Linked DNA regions of Tribolium castaneum. Each later gene encodes a partner of the first gene's protein in a complex. Links are inferred from orthologs where the notes say so. Each region holds a gene or a part of one and is shown on either strand. Other genes may lie near its edges.

Region 1 (7,639 bases):
TTTAACGGATTACGTCTTCAAATATTTGTTTAGTGGTTAAAAATCAAGCTTCAATAGTTTAATCCCGTGATATTTCATCCTTGAGTGATACAAGACTTTTGTCTATTATTATTAGTTGTTACAAAAGAGCTAACAAAAGTGAAAACGAATAAAAAAGTAATCCTCGATAAAAATTAGTTTCATCAATATTTTTTTTAGAAATGTGTAAAAAGTGCCATAAATTGCGACTTCATAATTAATTATCCGATTTTAACAAATTACAACCATTAGTTATGACTATAACTTACTATAACTATAAAGTCTATTTTTGTGCCCTATTTCAATAAAAAAATGTAAATCCGCTGTTGCTATTTTTATTAAAATTTTGAAATCGTAGTTAGGCCAATAGTTTTTTATGTTGGTATACGAGAGGTAGATCTTTAAATTTAAACAGTCAGTATAGATAAATCTAGATAATTCTTTTGTTCTACACACATTCACTGAAACTTGGTTAGATAATAACTTGATAATATAATTACATTCAAGTATATTATTCTCTAATTAAATTCAAAGTACCTAAATATAACAGAATCGATGATAATAATAAGTATGGATATTATGGAGTTATTTTAACAATTATTTTACTTATTTTTTGGTAACAGTTCAGGTGGCAAAGACAACATTTCGAAAGCTAACAAAATTTTATTAGTTCGATAATTATAAGTGTTAAATCATAAAAGGCTTTTTTTAATATTAAATTTGACCCTTTTTGCCATTAAAAAAAATCATGTTAGCCTTGTTTTTCCAAAACAAATGAAGACAGAAATTTGATAAACGTCTGAGACGATAGAATTTAAATCATTTAACGCATATACCAAATTCCAATACGTTTTGATGAATAGTTTTTATAATATTTAACTGAATTCATACTTTTTAGGGACCTTGTACATGCTTATTCTCAAATAAAATAATGCTGTCTCACACAAATTTGGAAAAGGAAATCACCAATTATCCAAGTAAATAATTTTACTTAATTTAACAATTACCTACTGAAATAGGTTGTTAATTGTCTGTGTCCAATCAATTAACTGAAGTAGCAGTGGCAGTTATTTGAAATATTTAAACCATTGTAATAACAGCAAGTGAAAGCTCACTTTTCAACATTGTAATTAGGAATAAAATTAATTTACTACCTAAGAAATTTTACTGTCAGTTATCATAAATAACACGAGATTTCTATTTTCAGATAACATTTTTATCACTTTTATCCGACTTTTATCGAGACTAACTACAAAAGAATTTGAACTCAAGGCATTTTATTTAATTTACAAAGGATAAGGTTTAATAATTGCAATTTTACTCGTTTATTATTAAAATTATTTGGTTTTGCTTAAACCGGATGGATTTTTTGTATCAATACGTTGCAGGGGAGACCCGGACAAAGCCGACCTCTTCGGCAACACGGCCCTGCACTTGGCCGCGGCGCAGGGCCACAAACACATCGTCACATTCCTAGTCAATTTCGGAGCCAACATTTACTCGACTGATATCGACGGCCGCACCGCCCAAGAACTCGCCGGAATGAACAACCGCGACGACATCCTGCGGTTCTTGGACGGCGTCCACGCCAAACTGGAGGCCGGCGACAAAAAGAAAGCCAAAGCACTCAAAGAAAAAGCAAAGAAAGAGTCAGAAAAACGCATCAAAGTAAAACACGGCCCCGTCGAGAGAAACCAATCGTTTCACTTTCTTTTCAGGAATTCAACAAACGCCAAGTCAAAAAAGAGCAAGTTCAAGAGAAGCTGGAGAAACGTATGAACAAAGGTCACCACAGGCCGTCGATGATAGAGACGCTCAAAACCAGAATTAAAAGTGGGTCCATGTCGAACTTGTCGAATCTGGGGCCGGCCCCTCCGAGGTTCAGCACCATCGTGGGCAACGGGACCGTTTCCGGGATGCGGAATTTGGGGTCGGTGCAGAAGCGGGTGCTCGCCAGCCGAACAACGCGGCCTGGCTTCGACGACGACTTCAAGGTGCTCCCGAGAGTAAATAAGCATTTATTTGAAAAACTCGTTCCAGATTAGTGAAATTGAAGACGGCAAACGCTCAGTCAGATCACTAACGGGGTATCGGCGAGACTCTGAGGTACTTTACACGGGGACCATCGATGGCAGGAGAGGCCGTCTGGAATCGGTCTTCAACGAAGCTGAGTACATAGAGTCGTCTCCGCCGCCACCACCGTCCAGCAACGGCCTCACAAGGTCCATCTCCCAGCCTGACTTCATGCACGAATTGGAAACAAACGGCGACACTAAACTCCAACAAGAACCAGCGAGTATTTTCGTGCGCCCAGGAATTGGAAGCATAGCGTTCCGGTAACAAATAATCAATATGCGAAAGCACAAAAACACGTTTTTTATTTAGAAAGAGCATAACCAACACATTCCAAGGCTTCTACTCCAGCGAAGGCCCCAACGAGGAGAGTTCAATCGGGTCAGGGGAAAGCTACGGCCCCAGAACCAACACTCTATCAATCGAAGACGAGTTATCAGACCCCGAGTCCAGCGACGACGATAACCCGAACGCTCCCCTGGAACGCTTCTTGACCGCCTGGGGGCTAGGAGAGTACCTTCCCCGCTTCGAGGAGCAGAAAATCGACCTGGAAACGCTGATGATACTGACAGAAAACGATCTCCAAAGCCTGAACTTGCCCCTAGGGCCGTACAGGAAACTTGTGACCGCTGTCAGCGAACGCAAAGCCGCGCTGGAGAATCCGGGCGAAGTCACAGACAGCATGTTGTAAATATGGAGTCAAAATGTGTTATTTATTCATTGTCGTGGACATGATAACGGTATTGCTTGTATTTTATGGGCACTTTTTGTACAGATGTGTGCCAGGCATAATATTTACAAATTCGTATTTAAATTTATTATAAATAAATGTGTGTTATGCAAATGCGAGCTTATTAAACCCACTCCTTATCAGTGTTCTCTTTGCTGAGAGAAATCTGATGTCATCGTCAATACGCAATAATAGGGGACGTAAAATATACTACGAAAAAGTGAAGTTACGTGTAGAAGAATTTGAATTCAATACAAATTTTTGCGCTGTTGCGTTCTTTGTGATGGCAATGAGTTTTTATGCAAAATAAAGTTAGTGAGACACCAAAATAGAAAAAAATAATGCCTTATTGCCATTAGAGCTTATTTTCTTGCTGTTTTTCCAAGTTAAATATTAGTTATTAACAATGCAATAAATCAATTAGGTTGTAATGGAAAAAATTTAATTTAAAATTAATTGGAAACCCAAGAGTGAAGGATTTTTAACAGGATTCCATTATTATTTAGCATCGCCAACTTACATCAAATGTCGCTGCGGATCAGGGTGACAATTTTTTTCTGAAAAAAAGTGTAGAAAAGGTAAGTGAAACAACACGTAAACAAAAATTAGAGAATTAAATTGAAAAAAAAGTGGATGAAAATGTTTTCTCAAGCGCAGCGACATTTGATGTAAGTTGGCCATGTTATTTTGATTTCAAAAGCGCCGAATTTCAAAAACTGTCGATTGTCAGAATCTGCGCGCGCACATTTCTTTTTGCCAAGTGTTGTGCACAACTCGCGGTTTCTGCTTCAACATATTGAATTGAACACTTCCTAACTTCTGAAAGCAAGTCAAATGACTATGACTGATGGTCAATCAGCGGGTGAGGTCCCCAAATTCGTGGCCCCCGTAATCCAGGACAACCCGACTGGATGGGGGCCCTGCGAGCTGCCCGACCAGTTCAAAGATATGCCGTACCAGCCCTTCAGCAAAGGCGACCGTCTCGGCAAAATCAGCGACTGGACGGGGGCCGCCTTCCAAGACAAGAAATATGCCAGTTAGTCTGACATTGACACATGTCAAATTTGAGGTTAAGTGACTTATTTTTCGCAATTTTAGACAAGTATGCGTCCCAGTTCGGTTCTGGCAGTCAATACGCGTATTATCATGACGAAGACGAGAGCACTTTTCATTTGGTGGACACAACACGCGTCCAGAAGCCCCCCTATCAACGGGGGCGCTTCCGCGCGAACCAGCGCAACTTGCGCGGGCGTGGCGGCCGTGCTGGGGTGCAAGGCAGCGGCATGCAGTCCCTCGGGAAGGGGGTTAAAGCCAGGGACACGTATAAGAGGAGCCAGGTTAAGAAATGGGGACAAGGACGGGTAAGATCTCGCTTGAGTTTTACCGCAATATAGTTGGCGGTTTTAGCCCCAGATTAAGATCAGGGACGCTTCGGTTACGGTCAAACCGGATTGGGTCACCATTGAGGAAATGGATTTCCCTCGGTTGGGAAAATTGTCGCTCCCTAACGTCAAAGACGGTTGGTTTAATTAAGCAATGCGAATTTTTCTATTTTGGTTTTTAGGCGAGGATATTACTTGTTGTGGCGAGTTGGAGTACTATGACAAGTCGTACGATCGTGTCAACGTGAAGAATGAGAAGCCGCTGCAAAGCGTCAATCGTATCTTCCATACAGTGGGTTATTTTTAATATCATTGATGGCAAAAAATTAAAATTAATTATCCTCAGGTTACAACAACTGATGATCCGATTATCCGTAAGTTGAGTAAAACGGAGGGCAATGTGTACGCCACTGATGCGATCCTTGCGACCATCATGTGCTGCACTCGCTCGAATTATTCCTGGGACATCGTGATTGAAAAAATTGGTACTGTGCCCTTACAAGTGTAACAAATCTCAAACAAAATTTTTCAGGCGATAAACTCTTCTTTGATAAGCGTGACAATACGGAGTTTGATCTTTTAACCGTCAACGAAACGTCCGTGGAGCCCCCACAAGACGACGGCAACTCCTTAAACTCCCCTCGAAACCTGGCCTTGGAAGCCACTTTCATTAACCACAATTTCAGTCAACAGGTATTAAGAACAGGTACCGGGGAGCCCCGCTTCAAGTTCGACAACCCAAACCCTTTTATCTCCGAGGAGGAGGAAGGGGAGGTCGCCAGTGTGGCCTACAGATACCGCAAATATGACCTAGGGAGCGGAATAGTAATTTTTTCGTTTTGTTTCTGTCCACGTTTAATTTGTGTAGTTTTTGGTTGTCCGTTGCGAACACGATGCCGTGGTCCAGTCCCCGAATGGCGAGCTCCAATTCCTGTCAATCAAGGCCTTGAACGAATGGGATTCCAAATTGGCCAATGGGGTGGAGTGGCGCCAGAAACTGGACACCCAGAGAGGCGCCGTTTTGGCCAATGAGCTGCGTAATAACGCCTGCAAGCTGGCCAAATGGACCGTTCAGGCGTTGCTGGCTGGCAGCGACCAAATTAAATTCGGTTATGTTTCCCGGGCCCATGTCAGGGATAACAGCAAGCATGTTATTCTGGGTACACAGCAGTATAAGCCGCACGAGTTTGCCACTCAGATTAATCTGAATATGGATAATGCGTGGGGGATTCTGCGGTGTATTATTGACATTGTTATGAAACAGAAGGATGGGAAGTATTTGATTATGAAAGATCCGAATAAGCCGATGATCCGGTTGTACGATATTCCGGATAATACGTTCGAATCGGACGGGGAGTCGGAGTCGGAGGATGAGGTGCCCCCTGATTCCGTGACTTTCCAGACCCTTTATCCATACACCAACAGTGCGAAACGCTAGATTTTGTATTTTTATCATGTATTAGCGAAAGGCCGAAATAAAATGATCAATAAATAATAATTTGCAGTTAATTCTCGTGCATAGTATTAACCAACAAGTGAAAAAAAAATAAAACGGACTCTTGTCGTGTAGCAGCAGCAAGGTGCATTTGCTCACGCATTTTTTAATTTTTTTCAACAAAGAAAGTAAAGCTGTCGTATTCACAACAAAAGAAAAATAAAGGTAAGTGCATTATTCTATTTTGTTGCGGATTTACTTTATTAGGTTTAGAATTTACTTATTCAAGATTATCAGCACATTTTTATGACGTAAGATGTCATATTATCGTATGATTCATTCTTTTTTTGTTAATACGTTCCAACATTCAATAACTAAATCAAATTAACAGTTTTATTTTTACTCGAACCCACACAATTTGAGATGTTGAAAAGTTATAATCGTTTGAGTGCAACATTTTACAACAGATTAACTACTTTATAAAATTTTCAAACTAATTTGATGACATTTGAGTTTATGATGTCGTAAAGTGTATTTTTTCAATTGCTCATCTCCAAGTGGGATTGAATATGTGATACAATTAACATATTGTAAGTGAAATGTGGAATGGTAGGTATAATAATGACATAATATTAACTTGGTTTTTATTTATTTGCAATACCTTATTGCTACATATTGTAGCGGAAGTAGATGCCATGAAGATAAGTGCACTTTAATAATTTTTTTCATTTTACAAAACATCAGCTTTTTAAACTATTTTTCCCTCGAAACTAATTTGTTATTCTTCCACGAATGAAATAATGGAGGGGGGAAAGGTTTGTTACTTTATTTTTTTTTTTTTTGAATGAACTATATAATTTATTGCCGCACTTATACAATATGTTTGTTATTGTCTTTTCCAATATCTTAAATGTTTTAGTTTTGTTTTTATCAACAACAGGAGCCCTATACCCACAGTAGTTTTCGAAATATTTCACTTATGAATTCACATTGTGGAGTTAAGCGAAATATCTTTCTAATTTTTTCAAACACATTAAGCTGTATTTTGTGAAGTAGCGTTTCCATAAAGACGCATTTGTACCCAAATGAAAAAAATAAAAGTGGTCCAAACCACTCATAAAAAACATAATTAACTGAATAAAATTGAAACTTACCAAAAAGAATTAATCCAAAAAAAAAAAAATTTGTGGTCTAGTTATACTTGTGAAAACGTTTGGCCGCTTGCTTGTTCCAGAAGGGCTTCCTGTCCCTTTGGGGCAAAGTGTTCCTCAAGTCAAACATGTTTTGCACATTTTTGCCAATTTGATTATTCCATTTTTTCTTATTACTTCCCGACGGTTCATTTCTACCAAACCCAGTTTGGTTAAATTTACGTTTATTTCTAGAAAACTCATTAAACCGGACGGGATTTCCCTCCGACAATATTTGCATAACTTCGTCCAAATGTTCCTTCACGTGTGATGACTGCGAAATTTGCATAATATCAGCCGAATCACTCGGCATTTGCAAAACCAAGGTCTCCATATTACTCTTAGATAAGACACAGCCCACGTTTTTGTCCAAATATTGGGCAATTTGGTGCCTCCAGCTGTTCAGTTTTTCCAAAACTAACAACTGGCGTTTGTGTATTTCTTCGACATTTCTACGAACCGACAAATACGCTTCATCTTCAACTTTAGGATAGAGAATCTTGCAGCAGTTATTACAATCATCAAGCACAGCCCGCAAAAGGTTCGCTTCAATCAACTCATTTTTGAGTTTGTGGTAAAACCCGATTAAGTAATGGGAGTCCACACGGGCGTAGTCTTTAAATTTGGGAGGCAGGGGCCTTCTGCGAAAATCCTGACGTTGCATTGTCTTATCCTTTGCGACGTGATAGTCCTGCAAAAGTGCGTCCAGTCCCAACTTTTTGTACCCCAGCGCTTTCATCGCGATTTGAGTGTCAAACAAGTTGACGACAAAAACACCCAAGTCCTGCTGGAGCCACTTCAGGTCATTTAC
Region 2 (7,873 bases), about 5.8 Mb from region 1:
TAATCGATAGCAAAAGTACGCAGTAGGAGATCTTAGGTACATAATTACTTACCTATTCATTGTAGCTTGCCGTAAAATGTTTCTATTTTGGGATAGCTTTTTGTCGAGGGTAATGGTTTCGTGACAAGGAAGTTAATGGTATGAAAAATTAAAGAAATGTTACAAATGTAATATTATGGATGTGGTTTCATAGTGACTAAAGGTTTATTGATGATAAAGCTTGTTGACCTTTTAATTCAGAAGAAGTGCAATTTACGTTTATGGCAACTTGAGTAAAGTGGGCAAACTAGCAGCACCAGAAATGACTCGTTTTTGAGCATTTTTAATTAAAATTATTTTTCTTCACACGCTATTGTTTATATAAAAAAGCTCATAATGCTTGAATTTATTAAAGATTAAAGAATAATCATTCTACCAAGCTGCGTATTACTGGTTGCGTTAAATCAATAAAATATTTTTTCGATTTATTGTAAATAACAAAACCAGACAATTTTTTATGTAAATAAATTTGTTTATTTGACTTAAGTACTATCAAAATATTTTTTTTTAAAGTAGCAGTATTAATGCAGACTGATGATTCTGTTGGCAATAAAAAGAAAATAAATAAAAAGAAATAAAATAAAGAATACCATCAGAGTACTTTTCTAGTTAACAACAATTTAACAATCTTGTGGGGTTGTACCTCAAATAAATGTTAAAGAAAACCGAATCCGGTTCAGTGTTACAAATTATGAAGAAAAATCAAATTATGAAGAAAAATTCAAATCTGTTGCCAAAAGACTCAGTATTTCTGGATCAGTCTGTAGTACTTAATTGTTAAAAACATATTCCACTACTAAAATATTGACTAAAAACCTAAATAAATCAAATTATAACATTGTTAAAAACCGTAATATTTACGACAAAGATAATATATTACTTAACCTTCCATATGTATGAACTATGAACGCAAAAAATTATAATTAAAAAAAATAAATATCTAACTAAAAAAAACTTTATCACAATTAAAATTCCAAAAAAAAATAGTTGAAAGAGCAATGTAAATCTTTCGATCATAATTTTGCTTTTCAGTTTTACAAGTTTTGTTATACTTTTCTAAAAACAATTTTTTATAATTTAAATAACGTGTTTTTGCTATTACTTGACTTACACTGATTGGCTTCTGAAATCTCCAATTAATCATTTCGAAACAAAAAATATTGTATAATTATTAATTACCTACTTACTTTCAAAAACTGCAGTATTTAATTGCATTAAAATAATTAAGTATAAATATTATTTAGTTTTTGAAAAGATGTCTTATTAAATTAGCTGTCCAATATTCTAGAAAATCGCTAATCTGAGATCGTAAAACATAAAAATATTTATAGCGCAAAAACTTAGGAGCTGTAATATTTCCACACAGCACAAATAAAATTTTGTCTTATTATACTTAAATAATAATACCTAACAAAGTTACGAATACTCAAAACTGTTGCTAAAACGTTTTGTTTAAAATTATTTTCTCAAAACATAATTACCAATTTTTATACAATTTTTAACCCCTCCCTTCAGAGTGAAATTTTTAATTTTTCTTAATTTTTCAGCAAAGATCCTATTAACAATTTTATGGTGTATCTATATTTAATAGATTTTCTGGAATTCAAACCTAAATACTCCATTTAACCTTCTAAGGAAATGGTTTTCTAAAATAATCTGTCATAATGTAATTAATAACAAAGTAATCGATTAATTTTCAATTGAATTAATATGTAATTTGTTACAGCTAATAAAAAGTAATTGTAATTACAATGTAATTGAATACAAAATAATCAGATTACATTGTAATTAGAATAATCAGTAATTGAATTATTAATTTAATTACATTGTAATCTGATTATGCCCAACTCTGGTTCATATCTTTACACAATTATTGTAGTGCCGTTTAGTTTTATTCAGTTTGTTATAATTTGCTGTTGTGAAGATACGCCTCATAAACAAAATTAGGATTTTGGGGTTTAAAAGTTTCAAATTAATTGACTAGTGCGTATTGATCGTGGTTATTTCTCCAGAGAGAAATAGAGGAAACAATCCAGATTAAAAGATTTGTCTTCAATATTTTTTTTTTAGAAAAAATACATTAAACCTGTAATACACACTCCAAAAAAGTCTGGGAATATTAGTAATTTTTTTTAATAATGAAGTTATAATTAACATATTTGGCATTTTTTTAAACGAATTGTTATTTATATTAGCGTAAGTTTAAAAAAACGCCATGAAAATGACTGTTCGCCGTTGTTTCAATTAAAGAAAAACAAAAATAAAAACTGTTATTTATAACTTGATCTTGTGTGACGTTTTTACAATTAATAAAATCAAAATTAGAATAATATTTTTGGTCACTAATACAGAGTGTAACCGTGACACTCTTGTCTAGTTCTTGTTGACAGAGTTCTTGCCGTGCTGTATTTGGAGCTGCGAATAATTCCTGATAATTTTTTTGTGAAACATTTGTCCATAAAACTCTTATTTTGAGAGTGTTCTAGACTTATTCAATAAGTATTAAGTCAGAAGATTGTTCTGGTCACAGTAAAACCAAAATTTTGTTACTTTGGTACAAATTTCTTAACCACTTAAAGTGTGCGATTGGCAATATCTTGCATAAAAGTCAAACCATCACTGTAATTTTTAATGTAAGGCAAGACAAGAGATTAAAAAATAAGATTCTTGTACCGAATTGCGGTTGAAAATAGGTTGACTTTATACCGAAAACCGAACAAATTTTAATAAAATACTGTGCGTAGTTTACGTGTCACTTAAATTTTTTAAATGGAAAATATTATATTATACCGACTACTTTAATTTTTTATTGTGCAAAAATTAATTAAATACTGATTATTTATTATTTTTTGTTGATCAAAATTACATTTATTACTGATCGCTTTGTTACTACCCAATTTAAGTGTATGTATTATATAGGTATTGCTGGTTACAACTTTATTGGCGAAAAGTTATGTTAATAAATATCATATTTAATTATTTTTCACTATCCTTAGATAAACTTCGGGTAAACAAATTATTCGTGGTATACTTAATTAGTACCAAATTACACAGTTACAATTGTTTCAACAATGTATTTTTGAAAATTTATTCCCGTAATAAATTTATTCTTCTTGGACTATTGTAAAAGCGGCCCTAACTAATGTAAAAATAATAATTTACACGAAATCAAGAAAAAAGAACACTGAATTAATCATCAATTAACTGCACCAAATTTTTGAATGAATCAAAACTCTGAAGTGATTGGTTTTGCACATTATTTTAATGGCCGACCTCAAATGGACCAATTACACCAATGAATTAAATTTTTGAATGAATCAAAAAATCGAAAATGATTGGTTTTCTGACATAATTATGATGGCCGTCCTGAAACGGCCAATGACAAGGCTTACAACTTCTACAATTTTTACAACACTTCTTACGTTAATTCATTAATCATTTATTAACCCAATTAGCAACATACAAATGAGTTTTAAGGACACAGCAGTCAAGTCCATACTTGGAAAGGGCCCAAAAGTGGTTTTTCTCCATTAAATTCATTTCTGGCGCCTTACAAAACTGTGACATTTTATTCCCGCGCGTCCTTCTTTACCGGTCGACCCTCACGCGTGTCAAAATGGCGAAAAAGAAAGTGGACGACAAAAACAGCCTTAACGGGAATAATACGAAGAACGAGAGCGATTTATCGTCCAACGATGATGAACCAAACTTCAGCGATCCCGAGGGATACGTCGACAACATCACCGATGAAGGTATTTCCCCAAAAACGCTCATTCAAAATGCGGGCATAACCATGCTGTCACTTCATTTTCAACCCTCATTTTTCGTAAAACTGTCCACTCAAACAATTAATTTTTGTTGGATTTGGCAAACCGTAGCCACGTTTTAGCATTTTCGCATCAAATATCTCGCCTGGATTGCAACATATGCGGTCGCGAAAGTGAGGTTAGGTTTGTCGTTTCAGAGCTCCTGGCCGATATTTTGAAGCAGAAGCCGAAGGAGACTGACGGTGTTGAGAGCGTGATTGTGGTCGACGGTGTCCCGCAAGTGGGCCCCGACCGTATCGAGAAATTGAAATCCGTCATTAATAAGATTTTCGTCAAGTTCGGATCCATAGTCAATGAGTACTATCCAGTGACCGAAAACGGTCACACCAAAGGCTACATTTTCCTGGAATACTCCTCTCCAGTCAACGCAGCTGAAGCCGTGAAGCTCACCAATAATTTCAAGCTTGATAAGCAGCACACTTTCCAAGTCAATCTCTTCACTGACTTTACCAAATATGAGGCGATTCCGGAGGAGTGGGACCCCCCGAAGCCGCAGCCCTACGAGGGCCAGGGGGACGTCCACCACTATTTGCTCGAGCCTGATGCTTACGACCAATTTGCCGTGGTTTTGGGACAGGGACAGTCGGTTCAAATTTGGCAAAATACGCAGCCTGATCCTTCCTTACTTGAGGAGAGACATGTAATTTTTTTAATCGTTTTGGGTTGGTTTTTTATGATTATGATTTTTTTTTGGGATAGGCTTGGACACATGCTTATATCAAGTGGTCTCCGTTAGGTACGTATTTAGCCACTTTCCATAAGCAAGGTATCGCGTTATGGGTGGGTCAGAAGTTTAGCCAATACAAAAGGTATGCCCATGCCAATGCACAATTTATTGATTTTTCGCCGTGCGAGAAGTATTTGGTGACGTACTCGCCTCAGGGAGATCCGCAGCATCCGCAACAGAAAGGGATCATTATTTGGGATATAAGGTAATTTTTATCACATTTATTATCTTAATTTGTCGTTAAACATTTGGTATTTTGAATAAACTTTCTTTGTATTTTTTGTATGACATGACCAAATCATAAAAAAAATAATGTAAGTTACATACTCTGTCCGGCAAAGTATAAAACCAAACGTTTTTTTCTAATATTTCTACTTTACGAAAAAATAGTTAGCACATTATCAAGTCTATTAACAATGTGGTCATTTTTGAATTTTTTTTTACTTTTCGAGTTTTTGATTATTTTGGTTAAAGGTTATGCTTTAAAAAATTACTTGATTCAATGTGGTATTGTTTCTGATTGGGTGTTTTTTTTTTGCGAAATTGGCCAGAAAATAAAATTTCAGCGTACTTGCTTATACTAGTATTATTTTTTCGTAAGGTAAATAGTTTACGGAAAAACGCCCTGTATTTTGTTTAGTGATTATTTTGAAATACTTGACATTCTTCTACGTGATTTACCGCACTTGTGTGTTATTTTTACGTTTAACGAGTCTAGTGCGATAACTTTCTGTTAGTGTAATTTATGTTACGGTTGTGTATGAAGGAGCGTTTCATAAATTTTAAACTTCGAATATTTGCTGCTCGTTGAATATTTACATAAAGATCTACGTAAAATATTGCTCATCTTCCTGTTATAGTTTACGGTGTTTTTTAGTGTATTCTTTATAATTGAAACGTCAGAAAATCATGCAAATTGGAAATAATTTAATTATGGTTGATACTTTGACTCTATAAAAACTTATATTAAATGAACTAAATTTTTAATAATGCATTTTAGAAAAAGGAAAAAAATTATAATTTGTCCTCTGAAATTAATTAAATTTACAAAACTAGTTTGGAAGAGAAAGTAGGAGTGAATTAATTTTAGTTCAGATTGTTACCATATGTAAAGATCAGTGTAAATATTAAATAATAAATAAATGCCTTCAAAAGTTGTTAAAATGCTACCATAAAATACTGTGCGATTGTATAAAAATATAAAACGAAAAAAATTCGGGAAAGCATTTTAAAAATGATTAGACACATTCTGTATCATAATTTCCGACTGTCTATGTGTTGTAAAGAATCGCAGAATAAAATGTATCCATTTCTATGGCATATATTAGAAAAAAGCCAACACTTCAATAATTCAGTAAAAAAATTAGATTCACTGATACCAGAGCTGATACCATAAAACTGTCAATACCTTGATACTACGATATTTTCAATACCTCGATTCTTCCGGTACCTCAATACCAACGATACTTAGGTTAGTATTGATACCTTCAGGGTTTTTTTTTTCCAATAAATACTGAAACTTTTAGCATGCAATTGAACGAAACGCAATTCTAAGAGTGATTTTCCAAACCAGTGTATCTTTGTGGGGATGCCCCCAATCTTAATTTTTTTTTATATATTTGGATTACTGAAATGATTTCTACAATGCTTTGAACTGAGAATTCGCCAATTTTGAGACACCTGTAGAGGAAAAGTGTTAATGAATTGTCAGTTTAGTTTTTTTTTTTGCATAAAACCTATTTTTAACTTTGAATTTATTTGTTTCTCTAGATGATAATATGAACTCACACAATTGTCGGTATTATTTATTTATTTTTTAAACATTTTTTCAATGTGACGAGTTTTTCTCGTATTCTAAAATAAACCAGCAGGATGTACACTTTGAAACTAGATCCCTCAATTAGATCCTCCTCCTCAGAAATTAGTTATTATTTTATTTTAAACATTGTTTGTAACCTTGGTTTAAGGGTTGGAAAAAAAATAAACAAAGTTCTATAAAAATGTACTATTACATAGGCAATTCATATACAATATGCTCAAAATTCCTCATGAAAATTTTGTTCACTGTTTTTTAACAAAAAAATAAATTGGTCAAAACTAGAGGTTTTTTCTGTGTAGTTTTAAACGAAACAAACTTTTTTGCTAAGGTTTTCATCAAGTCACAATGTTTTTTACGAAATTTAGGGTTGTTTTCCGGTAAAAATAGAACTGTTGAATTTTTTAACAGTCTTCAAATGGGAATCCAAATATTGGAAATGGATATTTATTAATTTTTTTTAATCTGATTTTAATTTAACACTTATGTATACCCTGGTTACGTCTGTTATATTTGACGGAAATGCTGTACTTTAGACCCTCTATGTAGAGGGTGTTAGGGAATGGCTTAGCAATATTGTGTAAGTGAATTTGTCATGATCAGACGAGTTAAAAACCCTTATATAATTTTTCCAAAAGGTGCGTACTTTCTTTAAAAAAAAAATATTAACCCACCTGTTGAGAGCCACTGGGCTTATGGTAGTTTATTAGCGGTTATTATTATATTTTTTTTTTTCATTAAATAAGGCAACATTTTCATTTGTGCGGAAGGTTCGAATCCCGGTCTTGGCAAAAAAAATATTTTTTCGTAAACTTTAGTAACAAAACACAAATTGAAATAGAAGAATAACGTAGTGAACCAACAAGTTATTTTAGCTCAGCTGTTTTGCCAATATTATTAGAATTTACGCTAAATTTTATAATTCTAGTTCAGCGGTTCTCAAATTTTGAGAACAAAAGTTCAGAACAAATTCTTTGAAAAACCATGCATTTTTGATTTACATAAATTTACATAAATCTTTAAATTTTTGCTAAGCCATTACCTAACACTCTGTATTTAAATAATAATAAATCATTGGCATAACTAACCTGATCTTTGATTAAATTTACCGTTTCTTTCAATTTTTTCAAACAAAAAGTTACAAATTTTATTTACTAAATACTTAATGGTACAGTAGCAGATACGGAATTTTGAGCACTTCTGTCACTTCGTAGTCGAAAGGTATGGAGTATTCCATACGTTTAAGTCAACGAAATGTCATAGGCGTCCAAAATTTCGCGTCCGCCACTGCACATATTATTTGTATTATGTTCGAAGGTTGGCAGAACTGCACTGAAGTTAAATGTGGTATTACGTTAAAGCTTTGGATAAAACAAAAAAAAGTATGTCAATTTTTCACTTTCAAAATTGAGACATTACCAGTTGGCTTAAAAATCCCTAAATCGATTAAAATAACAAAAAGTG
Region 3 (7,664 bases), on another chromosome or scaffold:
GATTGTTTTAAATTCGGACTATCTATGAAAATCTGACATTTTATTTGGCAGTACTGTGAGTTGTCATAAGAAATTTATTTTGGGTTATAATTGATGACAACCAAGGACTGTTGTCAGTTTGCTTCGTTTTTTAAATAAATAATTGAACACGTTTTTATTGTAATTCTACTCAGTATCATTAGTTAAAAAAGTCGGGTCTGTCTTTCTTGCATCCTTCAAAGCATCTTTTGATACAAACTTTCTTATCAACAAAAATTATTTTCGACATTTTAAATTAATAAGCAGTAGAACTGACAACACAGCGAATTTTTGACAAGACAACGTCATAAAGACAGTACCTGACAGGACCTGAGGCCAACCTAAGAAAAATATATCTAGGCCTGCTGAGAATTTAAAACAATCGTGAACGAATAATAAGTACAGTATTATAAAAATGACAGTAAGTCATAAACAATCTCTCAAAAATCTCAAAAAATTGTATTCTTTAATAAAAAAGAAAAGAAAAGGCTAAAGAAGAAGTTTTCATTTGATTTTTAAATAATCAAATAATTTTTATACAAATTATTGTTGGAGTTACGCTTGATTTTTCATGAGAATCAAATCCAATGAAATAACTATTTATATACCAAGACAGGAAAAACATCGATTCTTCCCCGAAGATGAATTAATATTTAAAGGGAGAAAAAAGGCGCTTTCTCCAGTGCTATATATGTTTTTTTTGGCGTCTTCATCAAAAATTATTTTTTTCACCTTCCAAATATTCTATGATAGAACGTTATTTCCTCCCGAGAGAGGAAAATGAGGGTCGTAGGTGGGAAATGACGTACTTTCATGAAATATTCGGAGAGTGGAAAATGATTTTTTCACCAAAGATATTTATAATTTTTCAGATTGGTTTTGTTATATTGATTTATTTAATTTTATAGTACTGTGTATGAAAACTATTATTTATTTATTTACTTTATTACAAAATTATTTTTTTAAACAGATTTTACATTTATTTGTATTCTTCAGTCTACGGAGTTTAAGCAAGAAACGCTTTGTTCCAAAGCTTTGTTTCACTCTGTAAATACAGACGGATTCAAGTTGTTGCCAAATTTTTAGAATCAACAGAGAAAATGAAAAATCGTTCTACTTCTACGTGAATTCTATTCGTTTTCAACGTCAAAACCACTTCTATAGAAAAACTTATTTATCTCTAATCGTAGTTTGCACTTTCAAATTATAAAAAAATGTGCTTACATCGAAAGCAATTCAATTATCTCAATGTCTAAAAATATTAATATCTTGATTTTCTCAATTGATTCTATAAATTTGGTAAACAAGACTTGAATTACTCTCTAGTATAAATAGTTTTTAGTAGCCTTTTCAACTACTTGATTCACTCACATCGTTAAAAGACTAAGTTCCACTTTCAAAATTAGCTAGCTTCAAGAAAGTAAAAATTTGCTTCAAAATCGTCTGAAAAGTTTACAAAAACAAATTGAAATAAGAGAAAAACGTCTTTAACAAAAAAATTTTCAGTAATTTTCTTTACTGTTACTCATGAGAAAAGTATTACTCAAAAAATTGTCCGTGCACCATTCTTATAAAAAATGCAAACTTGTTTTAGCATTTTACAAAAACATATTCCTACAATATAGCTAATTAAAGCAGTGTTGTCTAAAAATTAAAAAACCGAATTTGTTCAAAGGCCTTCTAAATCGGAAGTTTGATAGAAAAGTAACGGATGATATTAGGATTTTTTAAATAAAATTTTAAACAATAAAAAATTCTTGAATAAATGTTCATTTCGCTATTTATTTATTTGTTCATTTATTTTTTATTAATGTTGTACTTTAAAATTAATTAAAATGTTCTTAAACCAACCCATATTGTCACATTTTACGAGTAACCTGAAACACTCGTTGGAAACGTTAAAGCAATGCCTATTAATTGTTTTTCCAATAATGTCCTTATTTGTAATACGAGTACAATCCATTCATTGATAAAATTAGGTTCCCTAAAACTAGTGATTACTTATTAGGTAAACTGATAACTTTGTTTGTCTCTAGTAGGTTTTAATAGAAATAAACATCTCGTAAATAAAATGTCAACGTTTGACCTATGAACTTTATAAATGTGTTCTCGTTTTTTATTATTTACTAGTTCAATGGAATTTTTCTATACTCTAGTGTAATATTTGATATTTTCCACATAACACAAACGAAACAATGCTCAATGGAAATGACCAAGGCCTTTACAAATGTTAAACTAAAAAAAGGTATTTAAAATCGTCAGAAAAAAATCTTTAGAATTCCTTATGTACAACTTTTCCGTATCTAATTTTGCACAATTCAATACTTACGGCAATGATATCTTTGGTGGTGCTAGCGGCGTAATGGAACACCGAATCAGAGTTGTAATCGAGATGTTCCAAAGACGCATTCGCAGCAACCAAAACTTGCACCGTCTTCAAATTCTTCGTGGTAATAGCAACTTGTAGTGGCGAGATCCCAGTTTCATCATCAGTACTATTCAAATAATTGTTAATCTTAGAGTCTTTAAAAGAATCATAGAGACTAAAATACGCCGCCAAATGGGCCAAGTTCCAAGAGGGGTGTTCCGCAAGAACGTCACAAATCTTTTGCAAACCTTGCACATTATACATCTGAAATAAAATTCCAAATAATCGTCTTTTAACAACTACAGCAAATTACTTCTTTCGAAATCTCAACAAACGTGGGTAACTTATCCTTCAAGACACAAAATTTCACTTCAGCTTCGTCAAGATTTGGCGAGCGGTATAAACTAAAAATTGATTTTTTTAACAGTTGACGTGTTCGGGGGCACAAACCTGTAGGTTTGGTGTAGGCTTTCCGTGTACGGGCGATGGAGCACAATTTCGTAAGTGGCCCCTTTTTTCTTGTCAACTGTATTAGCTGGGAGGTAGAGGACCAATCCATCTTCCCGTAGGTGAATCGCTCGGTCGGAAAAAGCGTCTGATTTGGCGTCAATCACTTTGGTTGGGGCGGGTTCTGAACTGAGGAAGCTACGTAAAACTGCAAAATGAAGAATAATATTTGTACCATCACAAAGCAGGGGATTACCACTTGTAAATCCTTGGGCAAACATTTTATTACTTAATATCTATTCATACGGTTACGAACACTAATCACTCACTGAGATTGACTACCGATCATTGTGTTTTATTTAAGAAATTTGTGATTTCATAGTTCAAGGTTTGTTCGAACGAGCAATTGGGGAATGAGGTTAAATCACCGGCTCAGTAAATTTGCATTTAGATTAACATCATGTTTATTGATCGTTTTATTTTAAAACATTTTTCTCACTTACTCAGCGGAAATACTTTTGAAAATGAGAAAAAAATGGAATTTCTTGCACCACCTCGAGTAGAAACCTGTAATTTGTAATTGTCAAACGTCAACTGGCTTCGAGGTTAAGTGCAAGACCATTTGCTCGCTATAGTGGCGTAGGCATATAATGAGTAAATTCAAAATGTTTTCCGACGATTATGAGCAAGTGAGTGCTTCAAACACCTAAAACTTGAACAATTTATCCTTAAACCTACACTGGGTTCTATAAAACTCTAGTAAAAGCTTTGCAAATTGAACCATGTGTCTCAAGCCTATTTGTAAAAGTGTGGAAATAATACCGACCTACATGTTTAGCATGCACCATTCCCATAATTCGTGGCAGCAAAATTGACAATAAATTGGACACTGATTTTCATTTATTTCAGGGTTATGAATACAACAGCTATGATGAGTATGGGGCTCACACAGGAGACCCCAACTTGGACAACGAGTACAATAAACAGCACCTAAAGATGCCGGAAATAGTCAAAAACTTCCTAATCTATTTCCGCAATTGCGTGAATGAGGGTTTAATCTTTGAGTTGCAAACTTTGTATGAAACTTCGTGGCCAAAACTAACCGAAGATTATTTCGAGAAACGCCCCTGGCCAGAAGAGTCAGAAGTGTCAGCGCTAGTCGACAGTGATCCCGTGAGTAAATCCATGACTATTTTACCTTCCGCCTCGATTTTGTCTTTCACTTGGTCTAGTATTTTACCCCCAGTTTCACTCTCCTGGACATCCTTAATTTTTTCCTTTACGTGATCAATTATTTTACCTTCTGTGCCAATGTCTTGGACGTCCTTGATTTTCTCCCTAACGTGTTCACTTTTGTCTTTGAGTTCTTCAGAGATTTTCTCTTTGAGCTCTTCTTTTTTGCTCAGGAGTTGCCTTTTGTAATGCTCCATTGCGACTGTTGGAAGCAGTAGCAGGGAAAAATGAACATAAATGGGTTTTATTATGTCTTTAGCAAAAGGACACGTCAGAAGCGACCTAATTACAAAGAAATCGCTCAATATCTATGATTCTTTGATGTCTATTGATTGTAAAGTTTTTGCTTAAATATTTATTTACGCAGCATGGGCGAAAAAAATTGGTTTAAAATAATAATAAATACGACTTTTGGTTTTGGACTTTAATAATGCGATGAATAATATTAAAATAAATAAAAATAAATAAATAAAATAAAAATAGATTTAACGACAAAAAATAAACTTTGAATAAGGTGCTTACAAGGTCATATCTTTTCTAATACTATACAGTTTCGACGAAATTCTAAATTTCATTTCATTTAAAGGTAATCGATTTCAAAATAAATAAAACAGCTTTTTCCTACATTTTTTTGAATTAGGAGTATACCAAAGTCAATAATAGACAAATACATTTCCAATAATATTTTTTCTCGAGGCTTGAGACTTCTTGAAATAAATCATAAAATTTGCTTATTAAACGAATTTTTGTTCTATAAATAAGTAAAACGCTTAACCAAGTAAATTGCATAAACAAAAAAAATTATGTTATAATCAACTGAATTAACAGAACTGTCTTCACAATTTACTAAAGAATTAACTTTGAGTATTTACCAACGAAAATTTGAATACAAAGTCTTAATTAGGCCCAAAAAAATCGTGAGAATCTTCAAAGTAGATTATTTGTTGTCCTTAAAAACTCATGATAAGATAAATAAATTGAGATCTCAACGGGAAAACTATTCAACTGTTCGTCTCTCTTTTGAAAAATAAAATATGCTTTTAAAAATATAAGAAAATCAGTGATAAATCGTAATAAATAGACGGTACCTCAAGCATTTTCCTAAAAACAATGTTTAAATTAAACCTAGGTACAGAATTTTGTTGCATAAATAAGTAAAATCGTTAATCAGTCATTTAGTTAACAAAAAAAAAAACATGTAATGAACTAAATTAACCAGGAACTACCTCCACAATCTACTAATCATATTTCTGTCAACTTCTATTTTCAAATGGCCTATCTTTTTCAAAAAGATAGTAATATTTAAAGTGATGAAATTAATTGAAATGAAAATCGTTATAAGTAATTGATTACCGACTGGACGCGTATTCGCCTAATAAAAATTGAGTTTAAAATAAGTATAAAAATCTGTGAATATTTTCGAAAGAACAAAAATATTTACTCATAATAGAAATATTATGAATGATTTTTTTACGGATTCAGGTAATACTGAGGGAGTGTATACCAAATACAGCGTGCTCAAAAACTGGCGCACCAACTCAGTGGTGTGTGGTAGAGAACTGGTTACATATAAAGGTAAAAATAGTAAAAAAAATCTTTGTATTACTGTTATTGATAAATAACTAATTTTAGGTAAATGATATGTGGCAACGTTGTCTAACAGTCATGATTGCAATAGAATTTGAGCAACAATAAAAATAAATTATTTTTGAAACGGTTTCCTAGGAAATAATTCCCAGTGTTGGCACATCTACACATTGTGATTTTTTGGATGAGTTTTAATTTTTTTTAATTAAAAAAACTGCTAAAATCTGATAGTAAATTTTAAAATAATTATTCATTGTATTGTTACGGAACGATAACCTGGTATGAAACATAGAAATATAAAAAAATAATGAAAACTAAAGAAGTTAACACAATAAGTTTGTAGCTCCAGATTTTTTAAAATATAACTTTAGAAATTTATTCAACATTTTTCCCGTAATCTGCACTTGCTTCTCAATAACGTACCACTGAGTTGGTGCGCCAGTTTTTGAGCACCCTGTATATAAAAAGTAGTGAGATTACGGACGGGACACAAAAATTTATCTTACGTAACAATTTTATTATAACATGAAAACTTTAACCAAAATAAAAAAACAACTAACAGTCATCAAAAAAAGGAACACCATTCTTGGGAAATTAAATTACGTACGTTTAACAATTAATATTTTGTCCCAAACCTATATATAATTTTTGAATTGTATTTCAGTTATTTGACACTATTTATAGGAACATAACTTCCAATTTGAAAACGCTTGATTTTGTTCACGTATAGAATTCTCTACCATTATTAATTATTAATTTTTTGGGTTCAATGATTACAAATACGTGAAAATTATTATTTTCACTTACTTCTTGCGGGAAATATCCTATGCAACCCTTCTTGCAGGTGTTCATGATCCTGTACAAAGAGCTCTACTTCCGCCACATTTACGCGCGCATTCAAGGGGGCCCAACCCTCGAGCAGCGCTTCAATTCGTTCTACAATTACTGCGACCTCTTCAACTACATCCTAAGCGCTGACGAACCGGTGCCTCTAGAACTCCCCGACTTGTGGCTATGGGAATTAATCGACGAATTCGTCTACCAATTCCAATCATTCGCCCAATACCGGGCCCGCCTTCAGAAGAAAACCGCCCAAGAACTGGAGACTCTAAACTCGCACAATAAAGTGTGGAACGTACTTTGCGTTCTGAACGTGTTGCATTCTCTGGTCGACAAGAGCAACATCAAGCAACAACTGGAGGTTTGCGCCAGTGGGGGCGACCCCGATTCGGTGGCCGGCGAGTTCGGGAGTCACTCGCTCTACAAAATGTTGGGCTATTTTTCCCTGATTGGGCTTCTGAGGCTTCACTCTCTGCTCGGGGACTACTACCAGTCGATCAAAGTGCTGGAAAACATTGAGCTGCATAAGAAGTCGCAGTATGCGCACATCCCGGCTTGCTTGATCTCAACGTCGTACTATGTGGGGTTTGGGTACATGATGATGAGGCGCTATTCTGACGCAATTCGCACGTTTTCGTCCATTCTCTTGTACATTCAGAGAACCAAGCAATTGTTTGCTTCTAAAAGTTATCAGCACGACCAGATTAACAAGCAAACGGATCAGATGTACCACTTGTTGGCCATTTGCTTGGTTTTGCACCCGCAGTGTATCGACGAATCGATCCAGCAAACTCTGAGAGAGAAAAGCTACCATGAGAAAATGTACAAGATGCAGTATGGGGACCTCCAGGAGTTTGAAAATTGTTTCGTTTTCGCTTGTCCTAAGTTTCTTTCGCCGTGTCCTCCGCCGGTGGATTCCATCCCTGATGATTATTCGAAGGAGGCGATCCGCCACCAAACTCAAGTTTTTATGGACGAGGTCCAGCAACAAAAAATGTTGCCAACGATTAGAAGTTACTTGAAGTTGTACACCACTTTGCCCATTGCCAAGTTGGCGACTTTCATGGCGCAGAATAAGAACAGTGAAGGGAAGTTTGATGTTGATAAGGAGACGCAGAATCTTTTGATTCATTTGTTGTGCTTCAAGCACAAAATGAAGAATGTGGTGTGG

Evidence for each region. Proteins that work in one complex are often made in the same cells at the same time.
Region 2: eIF3d1 (region 1) and eIF3b share a complex: the UniProt entries of both Drosophila melanogaster proteins name them as parts of the eukaryotic translation initiation factor 3 (eIF-3) complex. The link is inferred for Tribolium castaneum from reciprocal best matches to the Drosophila melanogaster genes eIF3d1 and eIF3b.
Region 3: eIF3d1 (region 1) and eIF3l share a complex: the UniProt entries of both Drosophila melanogaster proteins name them as parts of the eukaryotic translation initiation factor 3 (eIF-3) complex. The link is inferred for Tribolium castaneum from reciprocal best matches to the Drosophila melanogaster genes eIF3d1 and eIF3l.

The regions. Positions count from the first base shown.
Region 1 is NC_087399.1:4,805,682-4,813,320, forward strand, and holds eIF3d1 (eukaryotic initiation factor 3 p66 subunit), read left to right. Parts: upstream 1-3,588; 5' UTR 3,589-3,655; coding exon 3,656-3,857; intron 3,858-3,919; coding exon 3,920-4,182; intron 4,183-4,228; coding exon 4,229-4,340; intron 4,341-4,385; coding exon 4,386-4,495; intron 4,496-4,549; coding exon 4,550-4,688; intron 4,689-4,735; coding exon 4,736-5,028; intron 5,029-5,071; coding exon 5,072-5,641; 3' UTR 5,642-5,698; downstream 5,699-7,639. Other genes in the region: Sans (ankyrin repeat and SAM domain-containing protein 4B), read left to right, coding at 1,407-1,686, 1,737-2,012, 2,059-2,354, 2,404-2,782. UniProt on the Drosophila melanogaster protein: mRNA cap-binding component of the eukaryotic translation initiation factor 3 (eIF-3) complex, which is involved in protein synthesis of a specialized repertoire of mRNAs and, together with other initiation factors, stimulates binding of mRNA and methionyl-tRNAi to the 40S ribosome.
Region 2 is NC_087399.1:10,620,322-10,628,194, forward strand, and holds the start of eIF3b (eukaryotic translation initiation factor 3 subunit B), read left to right. Parts: upstream 1-3,608; 5' UTR 3,609-3,655; coding exon 3,656-3,791; intron 3,792-4,003; coding exon 4,004-4,506; intron 4,507-4,565; coding exon 4,566-4,798; intron 4,799-7,873. Other genes in the region: multiple inositol polyphosphate phosphatase 1, read right to left, coding at 53-60. UniProt on the Drosophila melanogaster protein: RNA-binding component of the eukaryotic translation initiation factor 3 (eIF-3) complex, which is involved in protein synthesis of a specialized repertoire of mRNAs and, together with other initiation factors, stimulates binding of mRNA and methionyl-tRNAi to the 40S ribosome.
Region 3 is NC_087394.1:32,525,135-32,532,798, reverse strand, and holds the start of eIF3l (eukaryotic translation initiation factor 3 subunit L), read left to right. Parts: upstream 1-3,399; 5' UTR 3,400-3,483; coding exon 3,484-3,522; intron 3,523-3,659; coding exon of another isoform or gene 3,660-3,687; exon of another isoform or gene 3,688-3,742; coding exon 3,743-4,006; intron 4,007-4,133; coding exon of another isoform or gene 4,134-4,263; exon of another isoform or gene 4,264-4,518; intron 4,519-6,497; coding exon 6,498-7,664. Other genes in the region: iPLA2-VIA (85/88 kDa calcium-independent phospholipase A2), read right to left, coding at 2,348-2,650, 2,700-2,790, 2,837-3,041, 4,134-4,263. UniProt on the Drosophila melanogaster protein: Component of the eukaryotic translation initiation factor 3 (eIF-3) complex, which is involved in protein synthesis of a specialized repertoire of mRNAs and, together with other initiation factors, stimulates binding of mRNA and methionyl-tRNAi to the 40S ribosome.